Callithrix jacchus: one gene and its partner. The protein of the gene in region 2 interacts with the protein of the main gene of each other region in a biochemical or structural test. Links are inferred from orthologs where the notes say so. Each region holds a gene or a part of one and is shown on either strand. Other genes may lie near its edges.

The links.
Region 1: the proteins of MYH9 (region 2) and S100P interact in a biophysical measurement, tested with the Homo sapiens proteins (2 studies listed by IntAct). The link is inferred for Callithrix jacchus from reciprocal best matches to the Homo sapiens genes MYH9 and S100P.

The regions. Positions count from the first base shown.
Region 1 is NC_133504.1:186,929,671-186,933,578, reverse strand, and holds the start of S100P (protein S100-P), read right to left. Parts: upstream 2,270-3,908; 5' UTR 2,216-2,269; coding exon 2,078-2,215; intron 1-2,077.
Region 2 is NC_133502.1:207,240,176-207,243,983, forward strand, and holds part of MYH9 (myosin-9), read right to left. Parts: intron 3,642-3,808; coding exon 3,435-3,641; intron 2,846-3,434; coding exon 2,708-2,845; intron 1,654-2,707; coding exon 1,530-1,653; exon of another isoform or gene 1,135-1,529; intron 576-1,134; exon of another isoform or gene 1-575. UniProt on the Homo sapiens protein: Cellular myosin that appears to play a role in cytokinesis, cell shape, and specialized functions such as secretion and capping. Required for cortical actin clearance prior to oocyte exocytosis. Promotes cell motility in conjunction with S100A4.

The DNA of each region.
Region 1 (3,908 bases), on a different chromosome or scaffold from region 2:
GCCCTGGCTTGGGGTCCCAGGCTCTCAGGTCTTCTTTGAGAAGGCCAGGCCGGCAGGTCTCTCTGAGAGCCCACCCATTTGATGGCAAAGCGTCCTCACTGTGGGAACAAGTGGGACCAGGATGCGGATCTGAACAGCAGCAGCAGGGGGTGCTGACAACCCAGCTCTGGGCCAGAGAGCTGTGTGTCCAGGTGGAAAAACACAATTAAAATCGGCAGAAACAGATCGTCTGAGCAAGACACAGCTGTGTACGTGGAGACCTTCACAACAGCATGGTTTGTAATAGCAAAAGCAAGGCAGGAAGTACAGATTCAGTAGCAAACAAATAGTGGTCTGGCCACGTCGCAATACCCCGCGGCCATTTCAAGTGATGTTTGCCAAGGCTGTAGCCAGAGAGTCACCTCGTCCGACTGTGCCGGGCGCTGGGCAGGGCCTGGAGCAGATAGAGCCACAAGGCCGGCCCAGCCCTACCCGCAGGCAGACATTGTTCTCTGACTCCAGCTTTGCTGGGCTTCAGCAAAGGGCTGAGATGAGCACCAGGGCCTCCCCCAGGTAATTGTAATGTAACACACGTTTGAGGATCCCAGCTTAGACATTGCTTCTCCAAATGTGTTCCCAGGACACCTGCACCTGCCCCTCCCCACACCCCAGTGTCTTGAATCAAAGTCCTGGGTTCAGTTCTAAAACTTCGATCATTTTCAGAGCACCCTGAGCCCCGAGCCGGAGTCCCCAGCCTGGGGCTGGGGTGTTCAATGACCATCAGAGTTTGAGAAGGGATGTTGTAAGTTAAGTTCAAAAAGAAATTAAATTGCATCTAAATCCCACTCACATGGGGAAAGGCTGAAAGGGAGGGAAGCGTCTGTGATCCAGGAGGGATTTCTTCCCTCCGTACTTACCTATTTTTACATTTTCTACCACAAACAGAACTTTATTTTTAAAAGATATCTTTACAGCATTTACATTTAGAAAATGCTAGGCCAGGCATCGGGGCTCATGCCTATAATCACAGCACTTTGAGATGCAAAGGCGGACGGATTGCTTGAGCCCAGGAGTTTGAGACCAGCCTGGGCAACATGATGAGATCTTGTCTCTAGAAAAAAATACAAAAATTAACCAGGCATGGTGACATGCACCTGTAGTCCCAGCTGCTCGGGAGGCTGAGGTGGGAGGATCACCTGAGGCCAGGAGGGTCAAGTCTGCAGCACGCCGTGATCCTGCCAGTGCACTGCAGCCTGGGTGACAGAGTGATACCTCATCTCAAAAAAACATCCAGTGCTCTGAAGCGCTTTGTGTCTTTGAAGCTCTCCTTTTTGATGATCAGCATGCATGTGGGTCGGCCTCTGAGAGGGCAGATAGGCAGAGCCTGCTGGGGCCCGAAGGAGAGGGAAAGGAAGGAAGACAGTGGGGGAGTGAGAAAGAAGTAGAGGATGGAGGTCAAAGAGAAGAGGGAGAGACGGAGAGGGGAGGGCCTCTGTTTGGCCTGGTTGGAGGCTGCCCCAGGCGTCGAAGGAAGCTGGTCCCAGCCTCCCTGAGGGGCCTTCTGTGAGGCTCAGGCCAGTGGCTCCTCCCTGGCAGGGAGCCCAAGGGAGGCCCCCAGCTCTGTGCAGACAGGTGCCAGGATGGAGCCTCCTCCTGTCCTTCGTGCCGCTCCCACTAATACCAGGCAACAAGGGGCCTGGGAATGGGAACAGGGAAGGCGGGCAAGTGGGAGGTGGGGCTGGGGCGTTTATGGCCAGCAGCCTCGGAGGACTCGGCCTCGGGGACAGTCCTGGATTGCATTCCTTCCCCACCCCCACCACAGGTTTGAGTCCTACTCTCCCACCAGGGCTGTCACTAATCCACTAAGGTCAACTCCATCTTTCAAGGATGAAGCTGACCACACCCTCTCCTTGCTCAGATGCTCCAGTGTCCCCCGCCTTGATGCCAAGGTGGGTTGGTTCCTTGGCTGGGCATCAAGGGTCCTTCAGGATCTGCCCCCCTTGCCGTTGACCCCACTGCAGCTGTCTGCCCTCTGCCTGCAATGCCTTCCCCTTCCCCCCAGCCCCTCCTGAGTCCCCAGCTGCCCGCCTGGGCTTACCTGCAGGAAGCCCGGGAGCTCCTTCTCCATCAGCGCCTTGAGCTCCACCTTGGTCAGGGTCTGCGTGCTGCCCTCGCTGCTCGAATAGCGGGAAAATACGTCTATGATCATGCCCATGGCTGTCTCCAGTTCCGTCATGGTGCCGGGTTCAGACCCACCTTCCTCCCGGGGGCTGGCAGGGCTGAGAAATGTCCCCCTGGCGGCCTCTTGGTGCTTTATAAGGCGGCCTCATATTGACACAGAGGGTGGGACAGCGGGGCTGGAACATTCAGGCAGTCCTGCCCCTCTGCATGCGTGTGCTCGGTTCTGATGAAATGCATCGCTGTGTTGCCCTTTCTGGAACCTTTCCCCCAGCCATGGCCCAGGGTGTGGGCCGCCTCTGGCATTTTACAGTGCTCCCGTGTCTTGGGGCCATCAGTGAGTCACAGTGGCCCTCCCTGGGTAAGTGGGCACAGGGTGAATGTGTGTGGAGTGAGTGGTGACCCTGTGTCCCTGTGTGTTGGTATCAGAGGCTGCTGGCACTCAGCCTGCAGACGGGAGGAGATGTCTGAGTGAATTCCTGCTGGGCATGTGTGTGAACACATTTCTGCTCCCGCCGCCCTTTCTCGGAACACCCTGTGTCCTTCAGCGGTGCAGCTTCCCCCTCAGTCTCACTCGCTCCTCCCCTGTGGAGCCGAACAGAAAGCTCCCCTTCATCCTCTGGGAGCTGGCTGAAAATCAGTGGGCAGAAGGCAGATTCAGAGAAAAGCACCAGAGACGTATCTGATCGTAGCTGATGTGGCACGGCAGCCTTCAGGATGAAGACCCAGGGATCTGGGGGAAACTGTCCATGGTTACGAACATAAACACAGCATGGAAATATGATCGCACAGGAAAGTCAGGTGGACACGCACAGACCAGGAGGAGAGCCCGGCCCGGCCTGTCGGGACAGATTCCTCTGCGCCTCTGAGCAGCTTTCTTTCCTTCTAGGTGTGGCCAGGACCCTCTCTGGAATTGAGGTCTTGTGACCTGCAGTCAGATAAAGCAGCCCAGAGTGTTTCTTTGTGGTTCGTTTCTGTGCAGAAAGGGAAGGGGGTGGAGAACTGGAGTTGTAGTTCTGGGTTTTATGGCTGGGTTTGGGGACAAGGGGTTCTGATTGTGACCCATCTTGGGGAAGCCTCTCAGGGGAGGAGGGGCTGGAGAAAGTTTTGCTTCTGAGGCATCCACGTTGGGGTGCTGTTTTTGAGCCTCAGCACTTACCAAACCAGAGCAGCCACAGGGCTTAGACGCACAAAGGCTCCCGTGACCTCTCTCAGGTCTCAGGCTCGTTGGAATCCCTCCTTATCTCTATAGCAAAGGCACTCAGAGGGTCTGTGCCTCTGGGAAGCTGAGAGAGCCCTGGAGAGCATGGAGGTGGGGGCCTGTGTTCACATCCTGCCCCAGTCAAAGCAGACCCACGCTCACAGGCTCTCTCTCGGTAGTGATCTTCCAGAACGTCAGCCTCCAGCAAGTGCCTAACCTCTCCCGACACAGCCTCCACCAGCTCATGGGCTGCACTGGGAGAGCCCCCGCCGGCTGTGGCTCAACACAGATGGGAGCCACCGGTCTTACAAGAGCTGGCTTTCTCAGGACACATTGCCTCTGTCCAGGTGTCCTGAAGTGGAGGCTCAGCCTGGCCACACTGGTAACCCTTTGGGAGCAGGGACAGATCTGTTCTGCTCACGCCTGAGCTGGGCAGTTCCCTCTTGGGATAAGGTTGCACAGGACAGACCATCGTTCTACCCACTCCGCCAGAGGAGTGGGGAAGAGAAGGAGGCTCCCTGCCTCAGAGGTAGTGCTCCTCAGGTGGGGC
Region 2 (3,808 bases):
GTCTGTATCTTTAAAAACTATGTTCAATATTGTGTGCATCGGAACTTATGTAATGGAACTGCCTTGTGTGAATTCCACAGTTGGAACTGCAGAGTCAGGGCTCAATGTCTAGCTTTATAACTCTGTGATGTCAATACCTCTTCGATGACCTACTTCATTAGGCTGTGTTGTGAGGCGCCAGTGAGTCACATCTTAAAAAACACCGACAACAGGTCGACAATGGTTATTCCCTGACGGGCCTCTGCCGCCCCATCTCACAATCTTGAGATTTAGCCTGTGAAGTTTCGCTGGAATAGATTTGTATGGACATTTGCCTACCATTCCATGATGGGCACACATCACAACTTATTTATGTACCCGTCCTGCAGCTGACAGGCATGGACTGTGTTCACCGCACGCTCTGATAATGCTGCTGCGAGTGCCCTGCTCACTCTCAGCGCACACGACAGAGTGATGGACGGAACCAGCATGCCCAGCTTCAACCTCGCTAGGACTGCCCGATCACCCTCTGAAGTTGTCTACCAGTTTGCAGTTCCAGCAGCAGCCTGTGTGCGCTGTGACAGCTCCGTATCTGTGTTAGTGCTTATCAGTGTCAACCTTTCATGTCTGTCCATCTGGTGGGCACCACCCCTAGACCTCCTGGATGACTGAGTCTTCCAGGCCGCTCCCATGTGAGGGAGGGCATCTGTGGGGGAAGAGATCTCTCTGTGTCTGGACCTCTCTTCCACTGGATGACCTAACTCACCTCATCTCCTGCAGATGTGATGGGGCCGGACAGGGTGGTAAACCCAAGCTGGGGAAAATCCTCCCAGGGGTCGGGTTTTGGCCTCCCTCTCCCGGGTGTGAGCTCAGAGTTCCCACCGTAGTCTGGGTTCTCCTATTTCCCCAGCTGTCCACTCCTCTCAAGAGGCAGAGGCGGGGGTCCTCAGACAACCACAGACCTGTGCTTCTACCCCAGTCCCCCGTTCCTGCCACAGATCCCCAGGGCACAGAGAGATGAGGCAGGATTTGTCACCCTGCCGCAAGTTAAGCAGTGAGTTCCTGTAGTATCTGTCTAGCACTTTATGGTACACGTGTTCACATGTATTTAATGAAATCCTCACAGACACCCTAGCACTGTGTCCCCTTTTTTAGGTAAAACTAAAGCTCATGGAACTTAAGTAAAAGGTGTAAGCTGAACCAGCTCATCAGTGACAGAGCTAGTGAGTCCTCTAGGCCAAAACCAGAGCCACCTTGGAAGCCTCAGAAGCTCCTGAAACCCACGGTGCACGACAACAGGGGAACACCAAGGCTCTCCTCCTAACACGTTTGAAGCTGGGGAGCATCTAGCCACAGAGCAACAGGGGCCTGGAAGCCCAGGCTCCCGCCGGCACCAGACACAGCTCCCCTCGACCTGCTGACCTCGGGTCTGAAGGGCAGCAGCCAGTGCTGCAGTGTGGTCCAGGCTCACCTGTGAGCTGAGGATGCCTCAGTGTTCTGGTCATAGGCCAGCCCCTGCCCACCAGCCCCCTGCCCGTCACCTCCCTCACCTTCTAAGTCAGTGATCATTGCCTCATGCTTGTTCTTGAGCTTGGCAAGGCTCTTAGATTTCTCTTCCTCTTCCATGAGGTTGGTGGTAAACTCAGCTATTCTGTCTTCCAGCAGTTTCTTTTCCTGGTGAAAGAGAGGTAAGTCAGCGTTTAGTATCGGTAGAGCACAGAACACTTTGGCTCTCCTCAAAGCATGACTCGCCAGGAAATTCTGGGCTGAATGGAGAGGGCTATAGACACCTGATCAAATTCATTAGGATTTCCTGGATCAAAGGGTGACTTTGAAAGGTCACCAGCTCTCCTGCAACAGCAAGGTATGTTTCCTCAGAAACAGAAAATGTGGGTGCCCAGGCCCTTCCCCTGACCCCATGGGCTTGGGTGAGAAAGGCTTCTAGGGGACAGCTAGTATCAGCAGGGACAGATGGCTCCATGCCTTCAAGAGGCTGCCACACGGCGCTCACCTGTGCCACCAGGCCAGGCCATCTTCTCCATGCCCCACTAACCCACCATGGCCTCCCTGTTCCTTAGCCCCACAGTGCCCCGGGCTGCTCTCGTTGCTTTCTGCCCTGTGTGGCCCCCGCAACACCCCTGCCCAGGTGCCACAACTTAGCACAAGCATCTCAGTCCCCTCGTCCCAGTCCCAGGTGGGCATCCTGCCACCTCAGCCTTCCAACCCTTTGGTGAGAACACAGGAGCCCCAAAAGGTGGGGAGGCTGCCTTCTCCTGCTTTCTCCTCTAACTCGTTCCTCGACTGCCATCTACTCCCCGGGTAGACACTAACAGGGACACAACTCGCTCTCAGGAGGAACAGCTGCCATCCAGAGACAGCGGAGGAGGAGTACCCCACATCTCAAGGTGCCCCCAACCCCACAGTGACCAACACCTGCAATGCTGCACACATGGCCACCTGTACAGAGGCTCGGGTCTCACAGCTGGCAAAGAGCTTTCCAGAGGGGAAAGGACAAACCCTTTCCCAGGGCCCCTTCAATTTATGAGAAAAATCTCTCCACTAAGGCCCATGGGACCTCCAGGGAGCACCTGCAGCTGAGCAGAAGCCCCCATGCTGCAGGCAGAAGAGACAGGAAGCAGCAGTGGGGGGCTAGAGCCCTGTAGGGCGACCACACTCTCCCACCCACAGGCCCTGTGGAATGGCAGCAGGTCGCGGCCACAGGCCTCACCTTGGCCAGCTTGCAGTTCTGGTCCTCCATGATGATCTGCTCCTCCTCCAGCTTTTTCAGCTTCGCCTCGGTGGTCACCTTCTCCAGCTGCAGCTTCTGCCGGGCGCTCTCCTCCTCCTCCAGCTGCTCCTCGAGCTCCTGCCAGGGCCAGAGACACGGTGAGGACAGCAAGCCCAAGGGCATGGCCAAGGCAAAAGCAGCAAGGTCCGACGGTCAGGGCCACACCAAGGTGAGGATGGCCAGATCTGTGAGCCCAGGGCCATGGCTGAGATGGGGAACGGCAAGATCCATGAGCCCAGGGCCACAGCTGAGGCGGGGCCCAAGCCGTATGTGCAGGATTCCAGATGTCAAACTGGGACAAGGGGCCAGAACCCTGGTGCCATGTTCTGGAGGGTTTCCTGGGGCAAGCTCCCACCCACGGAACAGGGAGGAGGTGGAGTTGCTGGTCCTGCACGATTCTGGCTAGCCAGGGCCAGGGCTGATGGCAGGGAGATCAAATCTGCCTCAATGCTGGCCCAGGCAGTGCTCATGGAGATTTTAGAGGCACACGTCACAGACCACCAACCCAAAGAGAACACCCCTCACTGAGTGCCCCAAGCAGACAGCGTGAGGAGCTGGCCTCCTCGGACGACCCTGATTCCATGTTCTCCCAAGGTTCTGGTCCCTGCTCCTCTGCCCCGCCCTGCCCCTCAGGCCCTGCCCCTCCCTGGGCACAGCAGGCGGGCACCTGGATGTTCTGCTGCATCTTCTTCTTCTCCGCCTGCAGGTGCTGGCAGCGCTCCTCCTCCTCCTCCACCCTGGCCTCCAGGTCGTGGCAGATCTCTTCTAGCTCCTGCTTCTTGGCAGTCAGGCGGGCCCGGAGCTCCTCAGCCTCAGCACACAGCTCGGTTTCTGCCTGGAGCTGCTCCTGCAGCTGCAATTTCTCTGCCATGAGCTGCAAGCAAGTGGAAAACACAAGCTCCTCGCAACACCCTCAAGACACTCCATCCTCTAGGACAGGTGCTGTGGCTCAGGATCCCAGCGGGAAAGGAACATGCAGACAAGAGTAGCTTTCATCTGGAGAGCTCTGAAGCTTCCACACACTTTCCAGACATCCTGTCT